Lepisosteus oculatus: one gene and its partners. The protein of the gene in region 3 binds, or shares a complex with, the protein of the main gene of each other region. Links are inferred from orthologs where the notes say so. Each region holds a gene or a part of one and is shown on either strand. Other genes may lie near its edges.

What was found.
Region 1: lamtor4 (region 3) and flcn share a complex: the UniProt entries of both Homo sapiens proteins name them as parts of the lysosomal folliculin complex. The link is inferred for Lepisosteus oculatus from reciprocal best matches to the Homo sapiens genes LAMTOR4 and FLCN.
Region 2: lamtor4 (region 3) and fnip1 share a complex: the UniProt entries of both Homo sapiens proteins name them as parts of the lysosomal folliculin complex. The link is inferred for Lepisosteus oculatus from reciprocal best matches to the Homo sapiens genes LAMTOR4 and FNIP1.
Region 4: lamtor4 (region 3) and lamtor2 share a complex: the UniProt entries of both Homo sapiens proteins name them as parts of the ragulator complex. The link is inferred for Lepisosteus oculatus from reciprocal best matches to the Homo sapiens genes LAMTOR4 and LAMTOR2.

The regions. Positions count from the first base shown.
Region 1 is NC_090718.1:1,063,133-1,070,841, forward strand, and holds the start of flcn (folliculin), read left to right. Parts: upstream 1-4,709; 5' UTR 4,710-4,939; intron 4,940-7,709. Other genes in the region: ttyh1 (protein tweety homolog 1), read left to right, coding at 362-501, 644-811, 1,917-1,995, 2,294-2,377. UniProt on the Homo sapiens protein: Multi-functional protein, involved in both the cellular response to amino acid availability and in the regulation of glycolysis.
Region 2 is NC_090706.1:24,570,895-24,578,115, forward strand, and holds the start of fnip1 (folliculin-interacting protein 1), read right to left. Parts: upstream 3,017-7,221; 5' UTR 2,935-3,016; coding exon 2,846-2,934; intron 1-2,845. UniProt on the Homo sapiens protein: Binding partner of the GTPase-activating protein FLCN: involved in the cellular response to amino acid availability by regulating the non-canonical mTORC1 signaling cascade controlling the MiT/TFE factors TFEB and TFE3.
Region 3 is NC_090702.1:13,159,877-13,167,650, forward strand, and holds the start of lamtor4 (ragulator complex protein LAMTOR4), read right to left. Parts: upstream 3,020-7,774; 5' UTR 2,915-3,019; coding exon 2,912-2,914; intron 1,668-2,911; coding exon 1,587-1,667; intron 675-1,586; coding exon 557-674; intron 167-556; coding exon 69-166; 3' UTR 1-68. Other genes in the region: protein tyrosine phosphatase domain-containing protein 1, read left to right, coding at 7,060-7,238, 7,748-7,774. UniProt on the Homo sapiens protein: As part of the Ragulator complex it is involved in amino acid sensing and activation of mTORC1, a signaling complex promoting cell growth in response to growth factors, energy levels, and amino acids.
Region 4 is NC_090722.1:3,023,006-3,029,967, reverse strand, and holds the start of lamtor2 (ragulator complex protein LAMTOR2), read right to left. Parts: upstream 3,018-6,962; 5' UTR 2,889-3,017; coding exon 2,821-2,888; intron 2,215-2,820; exon of another isoform or gene 2,074-2,214; intron 1,921-2,073; exon of another isoform or gene 1,849-1,920; intron 1,665-1,848; exon of another isoform or gene 1,582-1,664; intron 1,095-1,581; coding exon 932-1,094; intron 1-931. UniProt on the Homo sapiens protein: As part of the Ragulator complex it is involved in amino acid sensing and activation of mTORC1, a signaling complex promoting cell growth in response to growth factors, energy levels, and amino acids.

The DNA of each region.
Region 1 (7,709 bases), on a different chromosome or scaffold from region 3:
CAGTGCCTGTGCTGTAGTGTCCAGTCAGTCAGTCAGGGTCACTGTGCTGTAGTGTCCAGTCAGTCAGTCAGGGTCACTGTGCTGTAGTGTCCAGTCAGTCAGTCAGTGTCTCTGTGCTGTAGTGTCCAGTCAGTCAGTCAGGGTCACTGTGCTGTAGTGTCCAGTCAGTCAGTGTCTGTGCTGTAGTGTCCAGTCAGTCAGTGTCTGTGCTGTAGTGTCCAGTCAGTCAGTGTCTGTGCTGTAGTGTCCAGTCAGTCAGTCAGTGTCTCTGTGCTGTAGTGTCCAGTCAGTCAGTGTCTCTGTGCTGTAGTGTCCAGTCAGTCAGGGTCACTGTGCTGACCAGTGTCTCTCTGTGTCTCAGGACTATGTGGACTCTCTGAAGGGCCTGTGCTATGATGGGATGGAGGGGCTGCTGTATCTGTGTCTCTATTCCTTGCTGTCTGCTGTGTCCTTCACCACTCTGCTCTGCTCCCTGCCCGGCGCCTGGAGGGGCTTCTCCAGGTCAGGGCGTCCGCGGCTCTGCCTGTCATCGCTGTGCTAGACTAGAGCTCCTCGATCTCGTCAGGCATTCAATTGTTATTAAAACTCCTGCTTCAGGGGTGTTCTTCATAAACTTCTTTCTCTGTCTTTTCCCACCTGGCAGCGACTCGGACAACTATGAAGACTCCGACAGTGAGAGCGAGGACCCCTTTCCTTCTCACCAGGCACGTAGACAGACGCCCGCGGGCTCCCAGCGCGGTGTCCTACCTGGTTTCTATAGTTACCAGGGGGCCAGCTGGGCTCCGCCCTTTTCCAGCGCACCCCCCCTCCCGTGAGTAACAGACAGGCAGACCGACACGCACACACACCACTACACACAAACGTTAGACGCACACAACGACACACGCACTGATACATGCACACACACACTATCTGACACGTACACACAGACTGACACACAAATACACAAATTCACAGATACAGAGACTCAAACACACACACAGAGACACAGACAGCTACACATACACACACAGATACAGACACTGTTTGCCTGGTCAGAGGGTGTGAAAATACTACTGAGGCAGTGGGTCAGTCAGTCAGTCTGTCTGTCTGTACTTTCCTCTGATTTAATGACAGACAGACAGAAATGATGCTTCATTTCAATAGGATTAGGAATGATCTCAACCCAGTCTCCTCTCTCAGTGCAGTGTTCATGTACTGGAGTGTCCAGTCAGTGTGTCTGTATTAACCCCTCTCTCTCAGTGCAGTGTTCATGTACTGGAGTGTCCAGTCAGTGTGTCTGTATTAACCCCTCTCTCTCAGTGCAGTGTTAATGTACTGGAGTGTCCAGTCAGTATGTCTGTATTAACCCCTCTCTCTCTCAGTGCAGTGTTCATGTACTGGAGTGTCCAGTCAGTGTGTCTGTATTAACCCCTCTCTCTCAGTGCAGTGTTAATGTACTGGAGTGTCCAGTCAGTGTGTCTGTATGAACCCCTCTCTCTCAGTGCAGTGTTCATGTACTGGAGTGTCCAGTCAGTGTGTCTGTATGAACCCCTCTCTCTCAGTGCAGTGTTCATGTACTGGAGTGTCCAGTCAGTGTGTCTGTATGAACCCCTCTCTCTCTCAGTGCAGTGTTCATGTACTGGAGTGTCCAGTCAGTGTGTCTGTATGAACCCCTCTCTCTCTCTCAGTGCAGTGTTCATGTACTGGAGTGTCCAGTCAGTGTGTCTGTATGAACCCCTCTCTCTCTCAGTGCAGCGTTCATGTACTGGAGTGTCCAGTCAGTGTGTCTGTATGAACCCCTCTCTCTCTCAGTGCAGTGTTCATGTACTGGAGTGTCCAGTCAGTGTGTGTGTATGAACCCCTCTCTCTCTCAGTGCAGTGTTAATGTACTGGAGTGTCCTGTGTGTCTGTATTAACCCCTCTCTCTCTCTCAGGACTCCAAGCACTTCCTCCAATGGCAATCCTGGATATGAGAGCCTCCCCTTGATTGACAGGCAGTCCCCGCCCCCCTCGGTGAGGCTCCCATTCTGGTGGCAGGTGGTTACTCTCCTGAACGGATTGACAGAATCCTTCTCTAATTGGAGAGTAGTCACCTGAAGTCCTTTTCATCTGTAAAGCCCAGTCGCTTAGTCTCGGGGATCATTCATAACATGAATCTTCATCTTGCTTTTACTTGAGTAACTCCTTTTATTTTGTTTCTTTCCTTTCATTCCTGGGGCACCCCTCTTGGATTTCCGCAATGGATCGCTCCGACTCCGCCCTCTCCTCTGTCTGCGGGTGGCCCCGCCCCTCCCTCTCTCTGATTGGACAGTATTCACCGAGCATGATGACTGGCTATGGAGGCAGCCAATCGAACTCGAACCCCACCTACTCCCAGATCCTCTCTTTACACTGAAGGTCCTGTCCTTGTCCTGTCCTCTCGTCTGGCCAGAGGCTGTGACCGTGTTTGTAAATGACGGGTTTAATTATAAAACTGCTGGGCTGGTGGAGGGAGCAGAGTCACTCCATTTCATCAGACAGACTGTGACCAGAGTGCATACTGGTCAGCCTGACTGGGACAGGAGTGGACACTGGTCAGTATGACTGGGTCAGGAGTCAACAGCGGGCAGTCTGACTGGGACAGGAGTGGACACTGGTCAGTCTGACTGGGTCAGGAGTCAACAGCGGGCAGTCTGACTGGAACAGGAGTGCACACTGGTCAGTATGACTGGGACAGGAGTGGACACTGGTCAGTTTGACTGGGTCAGGAGTCAACAGCGGGCAGTCTGACTGGGACAGGAGTGGACACTGGTCAGTATGACTGGGTCAGGAGTCAACAGCGGGCAGTCTGACTGGGACAGGAGTGGACACTGGTCAGTATGACTGGGTCAGGAGTCAACAGCGGGCAGTCTGACTGGGACAGGAGTGGACACTGGTCAGTCTGACTGGGTCAGGAGTCAACAGCGGGCAGTCTGACTGGGACAGGAGTGGACACTGGTCAGTTTGAACGTGGCAGGAGTGGGCACTGATCAGTCTGACTGGGACAGGAGTGGACAGCAGGCAGCCTGACTGGGGCAGGGGTGGACAGTGGACAGGAGTGGACAGTGGTCAGCTGTAAGTGAGACGAGAGTGGCGCTGCTCCTGTTTGATGTTTGTGTCACCAGGGTGTCCTCCTGACTGCACAACACACCCAGCCTTTTCTCCTGTTAGCCTTCTAATGAGCTTTTATAAAGAGGGACCGAGCACTGTCAGACCTGATAAGGGATCTGTACCCTTGTTTATCACTGTGTATTCATAGCAATAAAACTCTAGCTGCGCTCCTGACACTACAGGTGCTACTTCTGCTTAATTAATTGTGTTATTAATTATTATTCTTCTTCTGCTGTACTCTCCCCGGAGCCGCTGCGGTCTCTGCAGGCGTCCGGGCGGGGGACAGCGCCCCGCGCTGCGCAGGCGGGCCAGTGTCACTGCAGCTCTGAGGTGTGGGGGAGCTGGTGGACTGTGTTTCCAGATGACGACCCTGTATTGTCCCCTCTCCTGCCTCTAATAAAGTCGATCTCTGCCAGACTGGGGTCTGTGTCCCGTGTGTGTGAGGCTGTGGGGGTCATTACACAGGGGCCGTCAGCACAGACACACGTCAGTACACACAGGTACAAACACATCGCTACACTGACAGACACACGTCAGTACACACAGGTACAAACACATCGCTACACTGACAGACACACGTCAGTACACACAGGTACAAACACATCAATACACTCACAGACACACGTCAGTACACACAGATACAAACACATCGCTACCCTCACAGACACACGTCAGTACACACAGATACAAACACATCGCTACACTCACAGACACACGTCAGTACACACAGGTACAAACACATCGCTACACTCACAGACACACGTCAGTACACACAGATACAAACACATCGCTACACTGACAGACACATGTCAGTACACACAGATACAAACACATCGCTACACTCACAGACACACGTCAGTACACACAGATACAAACACATCGCTACACTGACAGACAGACATCACTACATACAGATACAAACACATCGCTACACTGACAGACAGACATCACTACATACAGATACAAACACATCGCTACACTCACAGACACACGTCAGTACACACAGGTACAAACACATCGCTACCCTCACAGACACACGTCAGTACACACAGGTACAAACACATCGCTACCCTCACAGACACACGTCAGTACACACAGATACAAACACATCGCTACACTGACAGACAGACATCACTACATACAGATACAAACACATCGCTACACTCACTGACACACATCAGGAGATGCTCTATGAAACGTATGGTTACACACACTGATACACAAACACGTGCCCTGTCTCTGTGGGGAAATGAAAATGTGTGTGACTGATACACGTATTGCATAATGTACAGTACAAAACTGTACACAATGTACACACTACACACTGAACACACTGCCGCCTGTACAATCAGCGCATGAAAGATAATCTCCAATAAAACGCGCTCTCGGTCATGGTGACCTTAAAATGAAACGCGCTTCCTTTTACCTGTAATTACAGAAGTGAACTAAATATCATTTCGTGCAACTGATGCGTTTCCTTCGTGCAGAAAAGGTGGATTTATGTATCTTGGAATCGGTCAGGGTAGCTGTTGTTTTGCTGTTTTTTAGAGGTGAAAATCTTTGAAGAACTACGGTAATTTGAGAGCATGACGTCAGAATCATGCGCCTCGAATCACATGACAGCAGAGGCGAAGGGTCTGTTGTGCTGACAGTGGACGGAGACCTGTCGTTATCTTAACTGTCGCTCGAAATATTTTTAGCGTTGCTGTCAGCTCTCGCAGTATCGGCGGTAGCAGCAGTCGAGGTAGTTCTAGGTCTTGCTACGAGACAGACATCAAACTCTTTGTAGTTTACTTAAGTAAACACCGCCAGGCTCAGCGCAGAGAAGGTAAGACTTCGTCAATAATGTCCTCAGTTATACGATTGATCCTGACAAGCAAGTAGTGTGTAGTCGAATTAAATCGCCTGTCATATGATTTCAGTGTATTCTAAGAGCTGTCCTGGACTCCAGGTGTGTGTGTGTGTGTACAGTGTGTCCAGTAAGAGTCTGGACTCCAGGTGTGTGTGTATACAGTGTGTCCAGTAAGAGTCTGGACTCCAGGTGTGTGTGTGTGTGTGTGTGTGTGTGTGTGTGTGTACAGTCTGTACAGTGTGACCAGTAAGAGTCTGGACTCCAGGTGTGTGTGTGTATACAGTGTGTCCAGTAAGAGTCTGGACTCCAGGTGTGTGTGTGTGTGTGTGTGTGTGTGTGTGTGTGTACAGTCTGTACAGTGTGACCAGTAAGAGTCTGGACTCCAGGTGTGTGTGTGCATACAGTGTGTCCAGTAAGAGTCTGGACTCCAGGTGTGTACAGTGTGTACAGTGTGTCCAGTAAGAGTCTGGACTCCAGGTGTGTGTGTGTGTGTACAGTGTGTCCAGTAAGAGTCTGGACTCCAGGTGTGTGTGTGTATACAGTGTGTCCAGTAAGAGTCTGGACTCCAGGTGTGTGTGTGTGTGTATACAGTGTGTCCAGTAAGAGTCTGGACTCCAGGTGTGTGTGTGTGTGTGTGTATACAGTGTGTCCAGTAAGAGTCTGGACTCCAGGTGTGTGTGTGTGTATACAGTGTGTCCAGTAAGAGTCTGGACTCCAGGTGTGTGTGTGTGTATACAGTATGTCCAGTAAGAGTCTGGACTCCAGGTGTGTGTGTGTGTGTACAGTGTGTCCAGTAAGAGTCTGGACTCCAGGTGTGTGTGTGTGTGTGTATACAGTGTGTCCAGTAAGAGTCTGGACTCCAGGTGTGTGTGTGTATACAGTGTGTCCAGTAAGAGTCTGGACTCCAGGTGTGTGTGTATACAGTGTGTCCAGTAAGAGTCTGGACTCCAGGTGTGTGTATGTATACAGTGTGTCCAGTAAGAGTCTGGACTCCAGGTGTGTGTGTGTATACAGTGTGTCCAGTAAGAGTCTGGACTCCAGGTGTGTGTGTGTGTGTATACAGTGTGTCCAGTAAGAGTCTGGACTCCAGGTGTGTGTGTGTATACAGTGTGTCCAGTAAGAGTCTGGGCTCCAGGTGTGTGTGTGTGTGTACAGTGTGTCCAGTAAGAGTCTGGACTCCAGGTGTGTGTGTGTGTGTACAGTGTGTCCAGTAAGAGTCTGGGCTCCAGGTGTGTGTGTGTATACAGTGTGTCCAGTAAGAGTCTGGGCTCCAGGTGTGTGTGTGTGTGTACAGTGTGTCCAGTAAGAGTCTGGACTCCAGGTGTGTGTGTGTGTGTGTACAGTGTGTCCAGTAAGAGTCTGGACTCCAGGTGTGTGTGTGTGTGTGTATACAGTGTGTCCAGTAAGAGTCTGGACTCTAGGTGTGTGTGTATACAGTGTGTCCAGTAAGAGTCTGGACTCCAGGTGTGTGTGTGTGTGTGTATACAGTGTGTCCAGTAAGAGTCTGGACTCTAGGTGTGTGTGTATACAGTGTGTCCAGTAAGAGTCTGGACTCCAGGTGTGTGTGTGTGTATACAGTGTGTCCAGTAAGAGTCTGGGCTCCAGGTGTGTGTGTGTGTGTACAGTGTGTCCAGTAAGAGTCTGGACTCCAGGTGTGTGTGTGTGTGTACAGTGTGTCCAGTAAGAGTCTGGGCTCCAGGTGTGTGTGTGTATACACTGTGTCCAGTAAGAGTCTGGACTCCAGGTGTGTGTGTGTGTGTACAGTGTGTCCAGTAAGAGTCTGGACTCCAGGTGTGTGTGTGTGTGTACAGTGTGTCCAGTAAGAGTCTGGACTCCAGGTGTGTGTGTGTGTGTGTATACAGTGTGTCCAGTAAGAGTCTGGACTCTAGGTGTGTGTGTATACAGTGTGTCCAGTAAGAGTCTGGACTCCAGGTGTGTGTGTGTGTGTACAGTGTGTCCAGTAAGAGTCTGGACTCCAGGTGTGTGTGTGTGTATACAGTGTGTCCAGTAAGAGTCTGGACTCTAGGTGTGTGTGTATACAGTGTGTCCAGTAAGAGTCTGGACTCCAGGTGTGTGTGTGTATACAGTGTGTCCAGTAAGAGTCTGGACTCCAGGTGTGTGTGTGTGTGTGTGTGTGTGTATACAGTGTGTCCAGTAAGAGTCTGGACTCCAGGTGTGTGTGTGTTTATACAGTGTGTCCAGTAAGAGTCTGGACTCCAGGTGTGTGTGTGTGTGTGTATACAGTGTGTCCAGTAAGAGTCTGGACTCCAGGTGTGTGTGTGTATACAGTGTGTCCAGTAAGAGTCTGGACTCCAGGTGTGTGTTTGTATACAGTGTGTCCAGTAAGAGTCTGGACTCCAGGTGTGTGTGTGTATACAGTGTGTCCAGTAAGAGTCTGGACTCCAGGTGTGTGTGTGTGTATACAGTGTGTCCAGTAAGAGTCTGGACTCCAGGTGTGTGTGTGTGTGTGTGTGTGTGTGTGTATACAGTGTGTCCAGTAAGAGTCTGGACTCCAGGTGTGTGTGTGTGTTTATACAGTGTGTCCAGTAAGAGTCTGGACTCCAGGTGTGTGTGTGTGTGTGTATACAGTGTGTCCAGTAAGAGTCTGGACTCCAGGTGTGTGTGTGTGTATACAGTGTGTCCAGTAAGAGTCTGGACTCCAGGTGTGTGTGTGTGTACAGTGTGTCCAGTAAGAGTCTGGACTCCAGGTGTGTGTGTGTGTTTATACAGTGTGTCCAGTAAGAGT
Region 2 (7,221 bases), on a different chromosome or scaffold from region 3:
TTAAGTTTCACTACTGTTACAAATCCCTAACAGCCAACACCATTTTTTCAAATCCTTTAGCTTTGTAAAAAATGTGAAAAACCAACCCCCCACTTAAAAGTTACAATTCTTTTTTACATGCGCCATGAAGCAGAAGCATTCCAGATTTCTTACAGAATCTCAGATAATATAGAATTAAGATATAGAAACAACAACAATATTAAAGATATTTAAACACTTACTTGATCATTTATGTTTGACTGAATGAAACTTTAGTTTCAGGAATAAAAAATTCGGTCAAGCCCAAAGGTCAGGAATGGATTCTAACCCAGACTGAGTGACGTACATTAATGCAGGTAAAGCATTTTTATAGCTATAATTTATAGCATTTTTACCTATAATTGACCGCAGCAGAAAGGTGAAGTGTATTTATAAAGGGCCCATTCCATGTGCTTGTGATTAGCACACACAGCATGCTGGCACATAGTTCAGTTTATATTATGAAAGACTTTAGTTAAGTGTCCACCATTAGTGACAAAAAATAGGAGCCAAAATCAATGAAACCCCCTCCTTTAAAAGAGAAAACTTTCTGGAGTTTACTCTTTCCTCAGATGTGACCTCGTCCTACTACACAACTAGATTACATAATCACAAAGTTCATTAGTCACTTTTGTACTGATCAGATTCTAATACGCATTATAAAATCATCACCCACAAAAGAAATGTGGAATGACCTGATGTGCAAGGCCACAGAGATGTGTTGTGCATTACGGACTCATTTTGCAGACCCTAATTTGTGAAAACCCTGGACTCGCTAGCCAAATTAACATCAGGTAGTCCAGGATTAGTGATAATTAAGGTCTGTGAAACCACTGGGAACTCAATGATGTCATAAATACATCAGAAGAGGTACTGAATGAATGCAGTTGTGATTCCAATCCTGTTTTTAAGTAAAAATGCTGCATATTTTTCTGTATGGTTAGGTGTAAGGCATCTTTAATATGGAATTTGCTAATTTACGCTTTCAAGTTCAATTGCACAGACTTCTAGAGAATATGTGAGAGGATTCCAATTAAAGATTATCAATTCTCTAGGAATGTCCCTATTAAAATGCCTAAAAAAAGAGTATATCAAATCTCATGAACATAAGGTCTCACAGCTCAATTTATTAAGCCTCCCTTTCATTAAAAAAGGATAAAACAAACATCCTACTTCAATTGAAGATATCAAAACAAACCTAAAAATAATATTTAATTTCATACAAAATAACACAAATACTGATGAATGCAGAGGTATGGCCCAAAGACTTGGATAAAACAAAAAACCTCAACAAAATCAAGTTTTATTTGATCCTTCTTCATTAAACAGCCAGAGACACTATTCTGGCACATTGTAGAACCCCATGACAAATACGAGAATCTATTTTCTTCTTAATAAAAATGTGAACAAAAGAGCACTCCAGCAAGATTAAAATATCAACTATGAATAGTGATGAAAATTCTATGGGATCATTCAATGAAAAACTTAATTTATCTCAGATCAATAAGATACCAGTAACCACATGAACACAACTGGACCTAATATTACTTCTCTCAGTGCATATCTTCTACAAATATTAACATAATCAGTATATTGTCCTAACAAAGCAGGGGACTAGAAAAAATGCATTCTCCTAAAAAAAATCTTAAGAAAATGTTTTAATTTGTAACACAAAGCAATACCTAACAAAAAGAAATATAACCTCAAAAAAATGACAGTTTTCATTTTTGCAATAGATAGCGGTCGTGTTAGGAAATGTGTCTTGTGATTCATGATACAGCAAAACGAAAAAGTTTCACTCTGCAACGCGCAGGAATCCTGTCACATACTGTACGTGTCTATTTTAACTAAAAGGTCCCTCACGAAGACATGCATTTTTGGTTTTAATATCCAATGCTATATTACCGATAATTATTGTAGAATTCAGATTATTTAAATTGGGGGACTTTCCTGAGAGGGGCTTCTCAGACAGTGGTCTTCAACCCAGAAAAGTTGTGAAAGACCCATAATCTGTTCTACCCTTTTCATACCAATCTTTTTAAAGTACTGTACGACTGCGGTGAACACTTGCATGCATCATATACTGTACTTTTCACTCAATGCAATTTTAAGAGCATGATAAGCTATACTTACAAAATATGTATCAGACATACTGCACAGCACAGTTCTGGACTGTAAGAATATCTCAAATAAATACAATGCACAGCCTATATACTGTACAATAAATACATGCAAGCAGTGCCGACTATAAATGGTGTTCTAAAACATCAAATCTTTAATATTAATAGGGTGTGAGAGGGGAGGATATGAATTTTAGCTTTACTGACCTCACACAAACCCACGCGTTTTTTGTTGCGGTATACTGTATATAATTGAGTCAGACGCCCTGTCGTCATTCGAGAGATGAGTGAATTTTACATTCGTCAATGGTTTACAGTAAGGGGGGTGACCGATTGCAATGGATTTGTAATAGTTAATAGCGTTTTTAAACACGGTACTTAATCATATAACTTGCTCCCCGAACAGGCTGCATCCCAGTTCGTCATTCCGACTCTATGCACCACCTTACCCAAACAAATGTCAACACCCCAAAAAGTAAACTTGAATTCTGTAAAAATCTCACATTCCATATTTTAATGTAGCGAATGCGTAACCCAGAAACAAAAGAGTCCAAAAAACATACGGCTCTATTCTTCTTTTTGCAATCATAATCACGATGTTGTCAAAAACAAAGAGCAACCACGTTGAAACTTACGTTATCTTGATACAAACAGAAGCCATACCATGGCACGGTATTAAAACCAAGACCATTTGTTATGTCACGTACCTGAATGTCTGCTCGTCTTTTGCACACTTCGGAGGAGGCGAAAAGGCATTTCTTTTATTAAAAAGTTTTTGAAAAAGCGTAGGAGGCATTTTGTACCAAATACTTTGGTACAAAAATTCTCTTTCTTATCAATCCACAAGCACACCTAGTTCCTTGAAACTAACTCCATTTGTGTCAGAGTCATATGACAGGCATTAGTCACACAAGCTGCTAGGAAACACAACTCGATTTTTCTGATTGGACAATACTGCACCTTCATGGTTTTCAATTACGCGATTGGCTGTTATTTTTGGCAGAGCACCACGTGGTCGACAGAATTGCTGTGTTGATATTTTGGCGTGTGGCTAGGAAACATTTACAGAACTGTACAGAAATTATCAAAACCACACGTTAAACTTAAATATACGACGTTTCAATTTACATCTTAAGGTGATACATTGAATGCATGAGTCTTTTACTACAGAATGCACTTTCCTTAATTAAATAATACCAAGCATTGCTATAGGTTCATTACGTAACAGGAAAAAAATGTTGAAACTAATCTTATTTAAAATTAGACAAATCTAATGTAATGGTTTGGGGGAAATACCTTTATAGCATATTTCAATCAATTACATTTGCTAAATAAAAAGCTTTATACAACGAAATTGTTTTCATTAAACAGGTGTGATAACTCACTAGAAAAGGCATATTTAAAATAAGTAAATTCAGAACAAAAATCACGCTAAAAAAGATAGCCATTACACAAAATGAGTCTTCAAATGTCATTGTATCAATCTATTTTCTCTTACATCTGTAGAGGAGTACTGTAAATGCAGAGCTTGTTGCACATCAGTACTGTAGATAAATACTTAAAATAAGAAAAGCAAGGTAGAAAAACCTATGACTTTCTTTAGTCATTTTCAGCTAAAACTACACAAGCAAAGTTAGTAACATCTTGAAATTTGAGTGACCACTTCTTTATAAAATGACCTAACATTGGAATAATAAGATTGCACGAGACTGCATTCTGGCAGCATGGTGGTGCAATGGTTAGCATTGCTCTCATGCAGTGCTGGGAGTCTGGGTTTAATGCCTGACCTGGGGTACTGTCTGTGTGGAGTTTGTATGTTCTCATCATGTTTGCATGGGTTTCTTTTATGTGCTCTAATTTCCTCCCACAGCTCAAAACCTTTCTGCTAGGTTGAGTGGCTTCTGGGAGAATTGGCCCTACTGTAGGTGAGAGTTTGTGTGCCCTTCAATGGACTGGAGTGTTGTGCAGGGCATATCCTTTCTTGTGCCTGTTGCTGGATGAATGGATGAACTGTGTTCAGATTTATGTATACAAAAGCAACAGTCAAAGTCCGAAATCCTGTTCAAATAAACGTTTCCTCTTTATAGAAGTTCAAAAAGATTACATTAATTTTAGGTGATGGATCCATTTTAAACATCTGATTGAAATTCTATTCTATTCGATTTTCTAGTCAGTCAGTGCTTGTTCACTTTATAATTCAGATGAATATGACATCCTGCTGCTACATGAAATCTGTTGGCTCTTAGGTTAATAAAACTCAGCACATCTGTGCATCTTGCTCTTCACTGGTTACAATAAAATATACACCCAAGCATGATGCTTAGCTGAAAAAGTTCTTTAAGTGTTCACTTAACACTAGTGACCAATTTCCATCTCATAACTTCAACACAAAATGTTTACCATGCGCAGGTAGTTCTTAACACCTTTAAAGAAAATGATCCTCATTAAAGGCAACACTGCCCTCTACCGAAACACAGAAAGACTATCATTTAGCTCATCCGCATTCAACACCAGACAGTGGTGTATGATTTGCAAAGTGTGCGAAATTGAAGACAGTTTTGTTTAATCTCAGTTTTAATCTCAATATAAAAAGTATAGATGTACAAAATGTATAACAATAAAAAAATCCTTTTTTAATTAATATCTACGAGTTTTTTACATGAAAATGTGTCCACAGAAACAAATTTAGTATTATTCGAATAGCAAAACAAATTACAGTCGAAACATTTTTATTCTTTTCAAATGTACATGTTATTTCTATATACACAAAGTTTTCCTAAAATAAGCTTTCAAGCCTTTGTTTGAAGTAGAGGAATCTGATTAACCTGCCTTCTTATTCAGGCACAATTTATCTTTTCATTCACTGAATAATATAAAAAATATTAAAACGGTTATGCAATGTTATTTCCAAAATACTTGCTAAAAATAACACTCAAACTGTACATCTAACTGTCCTCATTTGTTCCCATACATTTTGTCTCTTGCACCTTCTTTGTCACCAGCTCAACTGAAAGTGAAGTTTCTGCCCCAGCACCATGTGGGAACTAGAGAAATGTGAAAACAAATGAGAAAAGCAAAAGTCATAGTTAATTAATTCATTCTTTTTATATGCTCCAATTTGGAAATGGCCCCACAGCACCTACACCACAGTTATGTTCTCCTGGACTTGTCCCTTGAGGAGATTCTCAGCTCTTTGGCTTGGCTTCAGCCTCCAGGGAGCATCATCTGTGTTCTCAGCTCAATGATTTGAGTATTTCAAAGTAAGAGCTCATTCCAGACAACACTCATACATCATGAAAATGTTTATACCGGCAATAGTGCTGCTGCTCTTCCTCAGAAAAAAAGAAAGACAACTCTTCTGTACGTTTTGGCAAGAAACATTTGAGCCCTGTAGTCTGCGATGTGAGGTGTTTTTGTCTGTCTGTTCTACCTGGATCTGTACTTAACAAATATAGCAAACAATGTGATCTCCAGGCATTATTTAATCAACATCAACGGCATCCAACATTTGGTAAAGATGTGAAAAGTCAACCACAACTCGTTTTCTTAATGAGTTGCCTTATTCTTCTACTCCAGTTTTGTTTTATTGCAGTTTTCCTGAGGGAAAAGGACAGAAGACCCCAGATGATGAGAGAGCATTGCCTTTTGAGAAAGTGTCTGAAGTCCCATGCGACCTACTAGAAACCCAAATCATCGTAATAGCCCTTGTGTTCCTAGCTTGTGATTTTGTAGATCTCATTAAATCACCACCGATCCAAAATCGGGAAACAACGATTAATTTGTTCAAATAAAAAAATGGTTTAATTAAGAAATTAAGAGCTGAGGTCCTCCAGGACCGGGGGTACCCAGATTTGGTCTGAGGTATACACATTTAACTCTTGACCCTGGGCTTGTGGGTCTCAGCCTTCAAGACTGTACTCAACCAATCCCATTCACCTTGTAATGTTCTCACAGTATAATGGCCTAAAGAAAACACAACCTACCTCTTGCAGAACGTCTTGATTTCACATTCTATCTAGAGGATCTACATTCTTCTTTGCAGATTTTTGGAAAACTCTTCCTTGATTTAATTTTCTTTCAGGAAACCTTGTATTCTCTCTCTCTGGTTTAGGCTTACCACTCTCTTCTGTCACACCTTGTTCAGCATACCTTCCTGTGTTGTTTTGGATAGGACCCATATTTGTGTGGAAGTACTGTACAGTAGATACCAACCAACAATCAACTTTCCCTATAACCTTAATTTTGTAGGATTTCTTGCAGTGTTTTTTTGCTTTCATAATCACAGCTAACACCCTTTGACTGATCTGAAGAGTAGCACAGCTCATTTCTGTAATTATAAAGAAAGCACAGTTAACAAGCACTCGAAATAGCGGTACCAGTGTTCACTGTGATGAGGGGAACTCACTGAGGAGATGTAAAGTTCTTAAATGTCTTGACTTCTTAAACTTCTTCATCCAAGCACACAATCTTTCAATCCAAGTACACAATCTTTCAATCTGTATCACATTGCATTACATACCATCTTTAAATGATAGTTATGAACTGTTTGACTAAGTCCTCGGTTTGAAAGTAAGAACTGGTTTAATTATTTCAGACAGAAGGATATACAGAATTAAACTTAGAATGGAGACATAAAGCTGAAATGAGCCATAAGTGACCATAAGGCCATATTTTAGGGTGTTAGAGTGCGCATTATAACTGAATTAGTATGCATAAACTGATTGAATACATATTAAGATGAGATATGGACAAGCTTAATAGCTACTGTACTTATCATCTTAGGTGCTGCTGAGGGTAAAAAGATTCATAGGGAATGTCATCCTGTCCTTCTTAGTTTCTTCTTTACTGTTAGATGGAAAACTGAAAAAATAGTTCAAGTAGGTAGCTGCGTCAGCATGCATAGGCTGCAAAGGAACAAGTAAAGGTTTATTCCATGCTGAAAAGCGAAGAAAAGAAACAAAGTTTTGGTTGCAGACCCTTCTTCAGGTGTCTCACTCTCTTCAGTGTGGAATAAACCTTTACTTGTTCCTTTTTGAAAACAAATGCAACATTTTTCAGAACACAGGGCTTCCTGAGCCCCACA
Region 3 (7,774 bases):
TGTGCCTCATTCCACTACTGCTTGGAGAAAAGGCATCTCTGGGCAGCGTCGGGTCCACCCTCACACCTCTAGACGTTAACTGGCTCTCGCTGGTTGTTCTGCCGTTTCACCACAAAGACCTTCTGCCCAGACACGGTCACCATGAAGACATGATCCTCAAACACCACTAGATAAAGACAGGAGAGGAGAAAAGGTAAAAACAAGACAAGACATATCTACAATTCCTAAACACATATCCCCACCTGCTGTTTGTATCAACAAACTTCACTGTGTGGGATTCCTAAACCTCTGGTAACCCTGTGTACTGTTCTATCCATTAGCATTACTATCAAATCTGCTGTACTGTTTTCTGGGAGAAATGATAGGCAGGATCGTTTCTTAATGCCTTTTAATTGGCAAATACTTGCGGGAGGGAAAAAAAATTCTAACATTCGAGGCAAAGCCGCCCAGCTCAATGAAAAAGACGAGTGAGTGTAACGCCAAACCTGACACAAGCTGAAATGGATGCTCAGTGTTTACCAGCACCGGTTAAGAGGTAGAGCACGTCTAAACTGACCTGACATGCGCTTGAAGGGGGGCTCTGTGCTGCCCTGCAGCTTAAACTTGCAGGCTGTCTGCACCATCTGCATGATCACCCCCGCCGCATGCTCGTCGTTCTCCATCTCACCGGCAGACTAGGGGGGAGAAAGTCTTAATTAGCCATACGGTGCTTGTAGGAGGTTACTGAAGGAGACAAACCAACCTGTGGCAGCTTTGCCCCACACTAGTGGAGGAAGTGGGCAAAAGGAATGCCAAGCTCAACCAGACAACACAACGATGTATGTTTAGGTCCCAGTGCACTAGCAGTAACAACACCCAAGATATTAAGGATTATGGAGTGTTCAGTCAGAATTTGGTTTAACCGGTCTGGCTGAGGGCTGACCTCTTATCCATAGGAAGAGGAGGCTGGGACCCCACACAGAGCGAGGAGTGACCAAGGGGCAGCTGCAGAGGTGGAGACGAGGTGGAGGTGGGATGCAAAAGATATAAGCAAGATCACATACAGTATTTAAGGTAAGATAAGATCACTTTATTATACATATACAATTTCTTGCATTATTAAATTGTGTATTCTTGTATATTTGCATAATCCAGCTTGCTCTCCATGAGACACACAGACAGGGAGAGAAGCTTGGGGTCAGCCATTGTATAGTGCCCCTGGAGCAGTTGGGGTTAAGGGCCTTGCTCAGGGGCCGAATAGAGTAGGATTCCTCTGCCGGCTACAGAATTTGAACCAGCAACCCTCTGGGCACAAGCTCAGATCCTTAGCTACAGTGCCACCACTCCGCCCCTTACAGTGTTTCAGGAGAGTAAGTGATGTCAGAGAGTAAGAGAGTAAGTCTGATTGACCTCAGTTGTCGTCATCCCTCCAGAATTGTTGTTATAAACTCAATTCAATTCTGGGCTTCTCCAGAAACTATTGGAATGATTATTATGATGAAGGAGACCCTCCTTTGTCTCCATAGCTCACTCCTTCCTGCACCTCCTGTCCTTCCTGTCTAAATCCCAGCCACCTTCTTTATTGTAAAAGTATGGTGTTTACTCACAGCAAGGACTCCATCTTCACTGATGACCAGGTAGCCCAGCTGGTCTGGGATTCTCTCCAGCCCTTGAGTCAAAGCTGTTGTCTGAAACACAGCAGAGACATCTTTCCTGTCAGTATTGTGATAACAGGGAAAAGGAGAACTTGACCCTTCAATGTTAATACAGGAGGCTGTCCTTGCCATAACAAAAATAGTCTTGTAACAACTTCTTTTCACATTTTTACAAAGCATTACGTTCTTAGTAGAATACCACGGACACTGTGGGGGACAGTTCAATTAAATCTATCTGGAGCTCAACATAAATCTCATTCCCTGTCGAAAACAAAAATGGTTTCCTAGAAACGTCTTTACCGTGTACCACAAGTTAGGGAAAACTACCTACAAAATAAAACCGTTTTTGATTAAACGTTACTCTACGAACGACATTTAGTCACATTATGTCCCGCAGAGGGAGAGGGCATTACCACGTGACTCTTTCAAAATAAAAAAGACCCACGTTCGGGAAGATATTTAACATTGTTGTTACGAAAATTTTCTTAACTTCCTTCATTTTCTTAAATTTTAAAGTTAAATCTATGCAGACATAATGGTTTGGGAAACTTGAATCCTGTTGTAAAGCTTACGAATCACACCTGTTACTTTACAGGCAAGAAGCTTACTTGCTATGACCAGATGCACTTACACAAAAAAACTACGATTTTAATAATTTCCTAGGTTAAATATGTTGTTCTTTAACTATGTGCATGTGATGGCGTCCCGCCCATCTTCTTGGACTCCTGAAAACTCAATGGCATTAACTACCGGGGAAAAAAAGAGGGTAGTTACTTTAAAGGCGTAGGAATCAAAGTAGGTTACAAAGCCTTCGGGAGGAAAGTAGTGTGTAGCCCTAACGCAATGTATCTATAAACACAAAAATATCTCAGAAGTGAATATTTCGTTTTTTTAAAAATACTATCCTTAAGAAAATACTTTACAAAAGATTAAGGGTCTGATAATTCTGGTGCACGATCCTTAACCAATTCATTCTGTCTTCAGCTAAACAGGCCTATGATCATGAGATAACAGCCCCCAAAGTTAAAGCACGTACTTTCGTTTAACCAGACCAGAGTGGATACTAATTGTCATATATAATCGCATTTGCAATAAAGACTATGTTTATCTTCTTCGGACAGTATTTTTAATAAAAGTCTGATATTTCATTACTTCTTATTATATATTTGGTATCATGTTCGTTTGTTATCAGCACAAAATAGTACAGAAACGCAAAATATTTATATTATTTTGAGTATTCATCCGTATTACTTTTCTTGTTTTAAAGGAATACTCACCATGTTCAATCAAAAGAAAAACATTCACAGCTCGACTCCGCTGTGATAATGATCATATGATCTTGTCACGTGTCGTCTGACTCGAAAAACGGTACTTCCTGAATTTGTAATGTTCATTGGACAACTTTGCTGTCAATCCACATTGAGCATTGAGACGCAGGTCTTATTTTTTATTGGTCAATTCTACGGCCAGTCCTCTCAATGCGGCCATTAAACTTAACCGTATAACTCCACGAAAATGAGCAATAGAAATACCCGTGTTCAAGAGTGCCGCTGTTCCGACCTCTCCAAATTTATAATGCACTTTTTCCAGAAATGCACAGTTTTAGTCTGTATTCAATCAGACTTTGGCTACAGTGTGAACAGAACTGGCTTTACAACTTGCGCATCTTATAACTGTCCATCAGGCTGGTCTTACTGATTCGAAGATACAGGATCATGCAGTAAATTACGTCAATAAAGATGAACGTCTTGTTTTCAGTTCTTAAAAATCAAACATCTTGTTCTGAAAGAGTTCTGGTTGAATGTAACTGGTCTCAACTCCAAAAAGTTGAGACTAATATCGAAGCATTTAGAAACATGAGTTGGTGGGTTAATACTACTGGCACAACCTCTAATGCTAATAATATCAAGGAAAGCCTTAAACTGGATTGCGGTATCCTGAACGAGAGATTATCCTGGCGCACTGATGCCTTTCAATTTTAAAATCTGAGAGAACACCCTGTGCTAACGGAAATGAAATATTCCAATTAGTGTTCATTATTTTATTTTTCCTCACAGCTATTCCCTTACTCTCTCTCGCCCCAAGGCCCTTCTGGACAATTCCAGATCACTCAGAAGACATCTTGTACCTCCAGCAACCTTATTTACTGCATCTCTTGCAGAAAATGCCCAGCTATCTACATTGGGGAAACAGGAAGGAGACTGGGAGACCGCTTCAGGGAACATGTCAGGGCTGTGAAGATCAAAGATATCTCCAAGAACATAGTTTCTCATTTTACTTCTCACGGCTGTGATCGTCACGGTCTCTCCATCTGCGTTCTCAAAGAAGGGTTTCGGAACTCCTATTGCAGGAAGACATCCAAAATCAAAATTATCCTGAATCTAGCATCATACGTTCCTCCTTCTCTCAGTTACAGACTCGTTTCCTTCTATTCCTCTCTATTCAGTTGCAGGTTTTGACTTCACGCCTCTCTTCACCTCTCTTGATTTCACACCACCTGGGTGTCCACTCCCGCCTCCTGTCCACTCTGGGCTTATGTTTTCCGATCCGTTCATTGTTTGCGTCACTCTTTACTCATCCCCACTGAGTGTCCATTATTATTATTATTATTATTATTATTATTATTATTATTATTATTATTAATGAACCATACACTTAATAAAACTCCTTTTGGGAAATCCAGTCCAATAGTTAGAATTTTAAGAATTTTATTTAAAGCCTCTCACTTAAACCATATAGCTAATTTTTAATACAATCTGTGATATTAACCAGCACGTATTTACCTTTATGTGTGCTGCTTTACAGTACTACTAAATCTCTGCTGACCTCCAGTGGACACAAAGCGCACATTTTTTTTCATTATTTGTACTGTTTATTTTTATTGCTTTAATAAAAAATCACAAAGCAGTAAAGTGCATAGATTGCAGTAGATTACAGAGACGTCCTGGGACCATACTTGGAACTGATACTGAAGCACAAGTACAATTACTTCATAAAGTACAGTAGCAGGATTGAGTACAAATATGAGTAGAGATTAAGAATTTTATGTTTTAGTATTGAAATGATGTCTTTCAAACAACTTTATACATAACATTAAATAACATTATAACAGATACATATTTTAGTGTACACTTAATATAAATGCACTTCATCTCATCATCTTCACTGCTACACATCAGAACACAAAACATTTTGTCATCACATTGACAGTCTATGCACCATTAAATGTATTACATTTCGAGACTCACATTTATTAGTACTAATAATACAACACTGTAAAATAATTTTATCTTTAATACATATCGCAATCCAAAATGACCTGAATCATATCCTATTGCATCTCACAATGTCTTAAAAGTCATGTCTTTTATATGAGGTTAAAGACATTTTCCATCTTTACTGCAGTAAGGTAGAAAGAAGACTGCACCACTCCAGAGTTTAGAGGCAAGCAGTTCTGTTGCTGTGTTGCCTATACTGTAAAGTGGGTCACTGTGATGTTGGGTTCAGGGCTATGGGACACATTTAAAGGCTATGGCTGGTGAACCTTATGCTGAAGTTTTCTGTAGGCTCACATACTGTAGATGTTCAGAGATGAATTCAGCCTTACCAATCAAACATTCCTTGACAGCTATAGTACTGTATATGCTGATCGGTTTGGCATGCATACTGTAGGTGATTCAGTGTATCGGCCAAATGGGTCAAGCCTTTTCACTCAGTGTTTGAACTTTGCAGATATCTTGTATTCAGAATGTTTTTCTTCATGGACATGGACATCATGGACATCTCCTGTCCAGACACTGCTGTTGTGTCCATGAGCAAGATACTTCCATTAAATTACTCTAGTATACGTACTGCTGTATAAATGAGTGCTCAAGACATCGCTGCAAATAAGTATTTGTTCTCATTTCCCTTACCTGTAAGAATAAAAGATTAAATATATCATATCTGGGGTGCTATCTACATGGGGAACACCTCTCTGTGTTTGTGTGGGTTTCCTTGAAGAGTCCTAAGATGAACCTGTAGGTTAATTCATTCCTGGGAAACTTGGTCCTGGAGTGAGTGTGTGCGTGTCTGTGTCTGTTTTTGTCGGCCCTGTGATGCTCTGGTGTCCTGTCCAAGATCTATCCTGCCCGCGCCCTTTTTATTGCCAGGATAGGCTCTGGCTCCCCTCCGACCCTGAACTGAAAGAAGGGATTAGGAAATGGATGGATGTTGACAGGAGCTACCATATTTACAACCCTCTCCGTGCTCAACAATGGGTACTGTTGTTATCTTCATACCTCACTGTACTGTGTGCATCAATGTAATCAGTCATGTACTAAAACAGTCCAGGTTATGAATGCAAGTGGGAATTGTATCATTATGTACGTGCTCATAGATTCCTCATATACAAAGGCGAAATATTATATATTAAGCAGCAAGCATAACATCACACTAATTATGCATGTATGTTTTTAATAAAAATAAAACATGGATTTCTGAAATTTGATTAATTGATCATTCATGACTATAATGCTGATGACTTTGTTGCATCAGCAGAGAAAGTTGAGTGGTGACAGGTGATGAAATTATTTATCCTATTGAATGTCAAGCCTGAAAACCAAGAAAAACACAGGAAGGAATTAATATGGTCCTGTTTATCAAGAGTGTCAATAATTCGGCACTGATTTCCTAAATAAAATATTTGTTGCACACTGTCTGGCAATTTAAGATAAGATAAGATAAGTCTTTGTTGATCCCGAAGGACAATTTGTCTAATTTAGAGTGTTTCTGAACTTTTCAGTCATGGCTCAGTTTAGAATAAAGGTGTGTTTGGTCTGGAGCCCAGTTATATAACAAAGAATATTACAAGCCCCGGTCCTCTGTGTCTTAATGTGTTTATGGAATTAATAACAGGGATTAGTGGATGTAGGTCAGAATAAGCAACCACAAAGGCAGTGAGAGAAGCAGCCCTATGTACATTTCTAGCTCTAATACACTAGAGCCTATTGGGGATTTGAACAGATTTGATTTTTATGTTGCTTTAATTATTTCAAAATGTGACGCAATAATGGTAAGTGATGCAATTTTTATATCATTTTAACAGTCATAAAGATTGTCAATATTCACTTTAGTGTGAAGATTCATGATCTTGTCTGCACTAGAAACAAGACTTTAAAGACATCAATTAATATTTTAACATAATTTAATGTAATACTTTTGCTTAGAATCTTTTTTCTAAGATGGTCTTTATGTATTTCAGGATTTATACACTTTATTGTCACAACTCTGCTGCTTAATGTTGCTGTTTGCTGTCCTGGGCATATACCTAATTCTACATTTCTTTAATATGTTCATTACCAGACGAACTTTTCGGTTGGCTGCACTCCGCCTTAATTGCTGTTCAGACAAAGCCTGTCCATTCACATCCGCCTGCACACCAGGAATGGCCCTGTGTATTCCTGGGCCCCGGCCCTCCTATTCCCAGGCCCGAGAGAACCTTGTCAAAACCATGCCCCCAAATCTTATCTGCGCTCTGACCTGCAGAGGAAAAGATTGTCGTTATGAGGGACCAGCAACCTGGACGTTGAGACAGCAGGCCATACGGGGTGTCTTTTCCACATGGTAGAATTCAATATGCTTATTTTCCTTCTTTATGATCAGTATCCACCTGATTTGTAATAATTAACTGGCCTTTCACTGTAGAAACGTTTGTGTAGTTATAATGGTAAACAGTGCTTTGCAGTTTTGTTGAGTTCATCGTAAATGTAGACAACTGTGTTAGTGACGCCAAACTTGTGCCCTGCTGAGTACTATGCATATAAATCAATAGGGGAGAATCACATTTCATTGATTTGCTTCCTCATTAAAGTCTCTGAGGAACAGCAAGATGTTCAAGGCACATGCCTGAGTGAGTAATTTCAGCTGTACAGTGCTTTTCTCTATTATTTTAAGAAACAGCTGGCATTACTTATTTCAGTACAGCTATCATCCTTTTACGATGGAAAAATAAATATTGATTTTGCATGTTACTATTTGTATAACCTTGGAACACTGAAATAAGCATTACAAAATGATCTAAAAAGACCTCTGTTGTATAGTAGTCATGGAATGTGGTTTCTGTTTGCCTTTAGGGTGACAGATGATATTCTAGCCATGGC
Region 4 (6,962 bases), on a different chromosome or scaffold from region 3:
CTTGAAAGATCAAGCGGTGAAGAACGAGGTTTAAAGTCTCATCCGAAGAGTAGGGCTTCAAAGCTCAGCTGCTGGAGACCCACACACCCACGGCAGCCCAGCGTAGCTCCTGCACTCAACCCTCCACTGTACTAACAACTTACCTGAGCGATCTGATTATTTGCCATTGAGTTTCCTACTCAAAAGTTGGGGATTTTACTTACGAAATGCGGTACAGTAGTTAAAACGTAACCTCCAAAATGTTTAGAGCTGAAACCAGTCAAATTAAATCTAAATATAAAAATGAATGAATCGATATTAATACATCCATTAAGAGTTCAGCTGTGGAACTGAGGGCTCGGCTGGGAACAGAAATCATCGGGTATGTGGTCCACCAGGAGCAGGACTGGGAGCCCCTGTCCTACAGCACAGCGCCCCCCGTCACTATGCTGAGACACTGTCTTGGAAATCCTGTCCCAGGGAGAAAAGCACCACCTACTACCAACACCGCTTACACTAGCAAACTGCTATTCCTGCAGTCCTCCCATGCCAGTGCAGTCCAGGTTCGGCCTTGATCAGCTTCCGATATCTCAGAAAAGAGGGCTAAGAGGTGATGAGGAACAAGTAAAGGTTTATTCCATGCTGAAAAGAGAAGAAAAGAAACACGTTTCCACGGTGGAGCCTTCTTCGGGTCCACAGTGGGAAACTTGTGTTTCCTTTCTTCTCAGCCTGGAATAAACGATTACTTGTTCCTTTGCAGACTACGCATGCTGACGCAGCTCCCCACTTGAACTACTGAGAGGTGATGATGCTATAGTCCTCTAGACTGCCTGTGGTCAGTGTTCGTGGTTGGTCCACTCTGACTCCTTGCAGCAGTAAGCAGTCTGCCGAAGCACTGGAGGAGTGGAACAGTCGACCCCTGGTGGGGACGCGGGGAAGTGCAGCGGCTCACCATGCAGTCCATGAGGATGAACTTCAGCTTGTCCTCGTTGAAGGCCTGGTGCCCGTTCTTGTCGTACGCTGCCCAGATGTTGCTGGCGATGGCGGCGGTCACGCGGGCATCTGTGTCCCCGTAGCCGGAGTAGGCCAGAAGGGAGCCTTCGTTATTCAGCAGGCTGGGGAAAGGAGCAGAGGGAAAGTCACCATCATCAAGTCTCTAACGGACTGCTGGAGCCCTCCTCTTATTCCAGGCTGGCTCCACTGAGTTTCCAAAGTAAGTGTTGAAGGCACAGTCTGTAGGAGGCACGGTGCTGTGGAGGTAAGCACTCCTGCCTCATAGTACTGGGGGTGCTGTCTGTGAGGAGTTTGCATGTTCCTCCAGGTGCTGTGGTTTGCTCCCACAGTGAAAAGGCATGCTGGTGGATTAATTGGAAGAACTGGCTCTGTGTGCGAGTGTGTATCTGCCCTGTGATGGACTGGCATCCCGCCCAGGGATGCTTTGCGCCCGTTGATTACCAGGATAGACTCCGGTTCCCCTGCAGTCCTGGATTACCATGACAACAGACCCAGGGAACCACAGCTAGCTCACTCGGATAACCGTGACGACCATGATGTTCCAGAGAACAGGATATCAGCCCTGGGCTTTGGGGAAACTGCTCACAATACATCATCATTAGTATTCAACTAGCAATAATCACGCCTCGGGCCAAACCTCATATACTGCGATACAGCCACTGTGCAAAGCTGTAACTGACCATCGGACACAGAGGAGAGGAACTCAGAAACTCAGAAACTGGCAGTGGGAAGAGATAAGGCTCCGGGGGTCCCCAGGCAGCATCGTCTCCCCGCTGGTCTAGTGGTTAGGGTTCGGCGCTCTCACCGCTGCGGCCCGGGTTCGATTCCCGGTCAGGGAAGGGTCTCCTTTTTTATGGGGGTATAGCTCAGTGGTAGAGCATTTGACTGCAGATCAAGAGGTCCCCAGTTCAAATCTGGGTGCCCCCTCTGTATGTGACTTTCATCAATTTATAAAGTATTATCTATCTATCATTACTGCACCCCAAACTCACTGCCCGGGGACCCCCGGAGGCTTATCTCTTCCCACTGCCAGTTTCTGAGTTTCTGAGTTCCTCTCCTCTGTGTCCGATGGTCAGTTACAGCTTTGCACAGTGGCTGTATCGCAGTATATGAGGTTTGGCCCGAGGCGCGATTATTGCTAGTTGAATACTTTTCCCAAACTAGTTATACTGCCATAGAAATCTGTAAAATAATCTGTGGCAAAGCGCTGTGAAGAGCGTTATACCAGATACATTGACAGACTGATGTGCTAGATGTTATGAAATTAGAAGTTAAACCTGGGATTCAGGTAAAAACGTGTACGAATACATAGAAAATTAATCACTACGTGGCCGTAAAAATATATTTTTTTAAAATGCTGTATACATTATTTAAAGTGAATTAATTAATTATTGATCTTCATTTGGTTATTTCAGGATGTTGCAGAGACACGTTCTTCTTCGGGTACTCACGCTGAGTATTTTATCATACGTTTTTTTTACTATCGCACAATGCAGTTCAGCCTTCCGAGAAAGCCTATATACCAACTGCCACCTTATTGAGTCGCGCTGGCATTGTAAACGTGCCGTTGCCGCTAAGGGGAAGTTCCTGCTGTTCCTGATGTTACTGGAGACCAAATACGAGCTTTTTCTGCAAGAGAGGCGAAGGCAGCTCAGATTGGGAAACTCGTTACCGCTTCCCACGCAGGTTACCCACGAATTTTGTTCGACAGCTGCGTTAAGTGTAGGTTATCTCCCACCCAGTCAAATATATTTTATAGCAGAACAGTCCGCATCAGTGAAAATATCAGGTGGAAACGTGGTTATTATAGCCTTCATCATTACTCACAGTGTACTCTGAACGCCGCTTGTATTCGCCTGGCTCAGAACTTGAGTCAGTGCCTTTGGTCGCAGCATGGTTGGAAAAAAGAATACGAAGAAATCAAGTATTAAATCTAAATAACTACAATACTTGTACTCTCCAAAATATACAGTATCCTCGCGGAAAGCACCACTCCGTCAGCTGACTGAACATTCCGGAAGTCACTTCCTGTTTACGTCTCGAGTCCACTGCGGTTCTGGGAATTGTAGTTTCCTTTTGCGACGCGGTAGCGTCCTGTGCACACGTCTCGATTGTAGTTTTCACAAAACTTTAACAGTTCCATTAAACAGCGGTTCAGTTTGTATCGCGGACAGATTTTATCCGGCGTAAGGCACGTACAGCGGACTTATAAATACCAGGTGGCCCCGTCTACTTTTGTGTCGTGTCCGTTTAGTTTGAGGCGCAAACAAAAAACTGTAGTACCTTTAACTCAGTACAGTACCCGAAATTAAGTACAGTATCTGTGTTTCTCCTCTGCCTGGGAGTACGGCCTTTTCTAGTGGGGTTTACCCTTGTAAAATCAACCCCCATCACCTTCCCCTTGATACAACTCACAAAATACTGCATCATACTAAACACCTGGGACTTGGTTAGCAGTATACATTACAATGCCCTCACGTTACGGACAGTAACACGCAGATTTAATTGACAAAAGTCTGAAGCGAAAAGCAGAAGGAAAAGCCTTGTAATGTGGTTAAAGGTTTTAAGTAGATAAGCTTATGATTTAGATATTACAATTAGCTTTGTTTTACGATAAAGTCTTGAAATACGTAGTACGAAAACCTGTTCAAGTTGTTATTGTACTCGAAGATAAGATAAACAAGTCTAGGCATGTTATTACTGTCGGTGTGATGTATAGTTTTCCAGATAACCTCGCCTCGGAAATGTTTAAAATACTGTACTTCTCATTATCATCATTATACACAGACGAGCGTTAACATAGAAAAAAGTTCACCTGTTATGTGTCTAATACCTCTCCCTCCATATTTGTGTGTAGAGTAGCTGCATTAGTTTCACCTGTTTTTAGAATAGTCACAGTCTGTGTCTGAAGCCTAGGTGTCTCAGGAGAAGCCCCTGGCCTTCGCTAGTCTGCACAGTAGCACAGTCCGAGCTCCAGAGTCTGTTGGGGATCGGGGTCAGTTACCATACACACCCCCAAGAAAGGCAGGCGAAGAGTCATTTCTGCGTTATTCAACAAAGTCTGCCAACCTCAGCACATCCCACCTATCGACAGGCGGGCAGAGAATCAAGGGGGCAGAGACGGGTTCTAGGGGTTAATGTTGTGGGAGGACACTCGTTAACCTAGAAGACCAATGCGGATCACTGCCTCAAGGTCCCGAGCGATCATCGTCCCTCCAAGCACGTCTTTCCTGCTGGGAGAAGAGCTGTCCAGGATGACAGAGCAAGTGTGGACACCCAGTAGCTTGATAAGCCTGACGCTGATGTTATTCATATATTATGGCCACCTCAGTCACCAGTTCTGCACCCAATCGAGCATTTACAGCATATTTAATAATAATAATAATAATAATAATAATAAAGCGCTTTACAGGTAATGGGGATCCCCTCCACCACCACCAGTGTGCAGCCCCACCTGGATGATGCGACGGCAGCCATAGTGCGCCAGAACGCTCACCACACATCAGCTATCAGTGGGGAGGAGAGCAGAGTAATGAAGCCAATTCATAGATGGGGATTATTAGGAGGCCATGATTGGTAAGGGCCAATGGGAAATTTGGCCAGGCCACCAGGGTTACACCCCTACTCTTTTCGAGAAGTGGCCTAGGATTTTAAATGACCATAGAGAGTCAGGACCTCAGTTTTACGACTCATCCTAAGGACGGCGCCTGTTTATAGTATAGTGTCCCCATCACTATACTGGGGCATTAGGACCCACATTGACCGCAGGGTGAGCACCCCTTGCTGGCCCCACTAACACCTCTTCCAGCAGCAACCTTAGTTTTTCCCAGGAGTCTCCCATCGAGGTACTGACCAGGCTCACACCTGCTGAGATTCAGGGGGTTGTTAGCTGTGAGTTGCAGAGTGATATGGCTGCTGGTAATATGACAATGCTTGAGACGGGTTTTCACCTCTGTCCACTAGGAGCGAGTTGACTTCCTTTCTCCTGGAAGAAGGTGCCGTGTCCCTCCTGCAGAATCCCAGAGGCTGGCAGATGTTACTCCACAGACCACACAGGGTATACAGGCCCAGCGCCCTCTTAAATCTCTTTACATTGTCATTGGCATTTTTTGTCCACCATAACAAAAAGACAAAGGATTAATCAAACTTGAACAGTTTATTCAAGTTGAATACGTATACTTTCTTTAGTCAGGAATCATGCGTCTTGGCAACAAGAAACACAGGCATGTAGATGTCCTCACAGCACTGGGGCCCTGGGGTCCTGTCTGTGTGGAGTTCGGATGTTCTCCTCATGTTCATGTGGGTTTCCTCCCTCAGGCCAAAGACATGCTGGTGGGTTAATTGACTTCTGGGAAAACTGGCCCTGGTGTGAGTTTGTACTTGCGTTAGTCTGCCCTGTGACGGACCGGCATTTCGTCCAGGAGGTATCCAGCCTTGCGTCTGTTTTTTATTGGAATATGCTCCCCCAGAACTCTATAATGGAAAAACCAGCTCGATACTTGACAACTGTACCCTGCAGTCTGTGACCTTAAACGTATGCTACCACTAAATGAGGAAGAGACTTCATCGGCTTTTAAGAGTATCACATTGCAAGGGATTTCAGGGCACCCGCCCAAGAGATAGATCTTGGCTAAACTGTAGTTCAACAGAAACTTGAATGACCTGGACTGGAGAAAATCAAACACCTGGAGTAGTTCCACCCGTCAGAAGTGACAGCTGAAATTTTCCCTTTTCTGTCGCTGCAGTCCAAACGGATTAACAGGACAGTACCCAACGTCTTTGGGTTAAGAAGGATTAATTCTTTTAGTTCTGCATTCATGGTAACTCCACAATATCTCACAATAAAGCTCATAATCAAGCAATAGAAAATCTTATTTTCTTACTAAAATAAAGTGCTCTGTGAGGCTTCTCACTACTGGTACTCTTTTTAAGTAAGTTGACATAAGTTGACTATTCTACCAAACATATTTCTATTTGATCGGGCACAAAACCATAGAAATAACTGAGAACACAAGTGACCAGAGGAAAACACATAAACACACGTATACTGTTATGTGCATTGTCTTTCGTGGCATAAAAGGTACACTAACATATAACACTGTACTGTAAACAGGCGTCGTCCTTCAGATGAGACGTAAAACCGAGGTCCTGACTCTCTATGGTCATTAAAAATCCCAGGGTGTTTCTCGAAAAGAGTAGGGGTGTAACCCCGGCGTCTTGGCCAAATTTCCCATTGCCCCTTACCAATCATGGCCTCCTAATAACCCCATGTCTGAATTGGCTTCATTACTCTGCTCTCCTCCCCACTGAGAGCTGGTGTGTGGGGAGCGTTCTGCCGCACTATAGCTGCCGTCACATCATCCAGGTGGGGCTGCACACTGGTGGTGGTGGAGGGGATCCCCATTACCTGTAAAGCGCTTTGAGTGGAGTGTCCAGAAAAGCACTATATAAGTGTAAGCAATTATTATTATTATTATTATTATACCCCATCCCAAATGAGAATTGGAAAACCTGAAAACTGCCTTTGGCTACCACCTAGTGGTCAGTTATGTGCACTCCAGATAGTCTGGAGATTGGCAATTGGTAAGAGAATGGCCATGACAAGATCAACATGACTGTTGACCAAATTTGAAAAAAAGGATGTTATGTGCTAACTCTACTATGACAATTCATTGGTTTAATATTTATGCATGTAATAATATGGCAGGTAACAACCACAGAGTTGAATAATACAATTTGAGTAAGCATTCTTTATACCACAGTTCTTGTGGTCAGTGCTTTGGGTGAGATAAGACAGCTCGCTGTTTAAAAGACTTAAAAATTAAACAAAACACAAAATAATCTGTGTACATGCACAGAAATCTCTGTGCATGTAATGTTTAATGATTTTTTTCAAAAATACACCTTTAAAATTGGCTGTTGGAATGATTTTGTTGGAATGGAATTTCTGCATTCTCTCCACCTTCCAC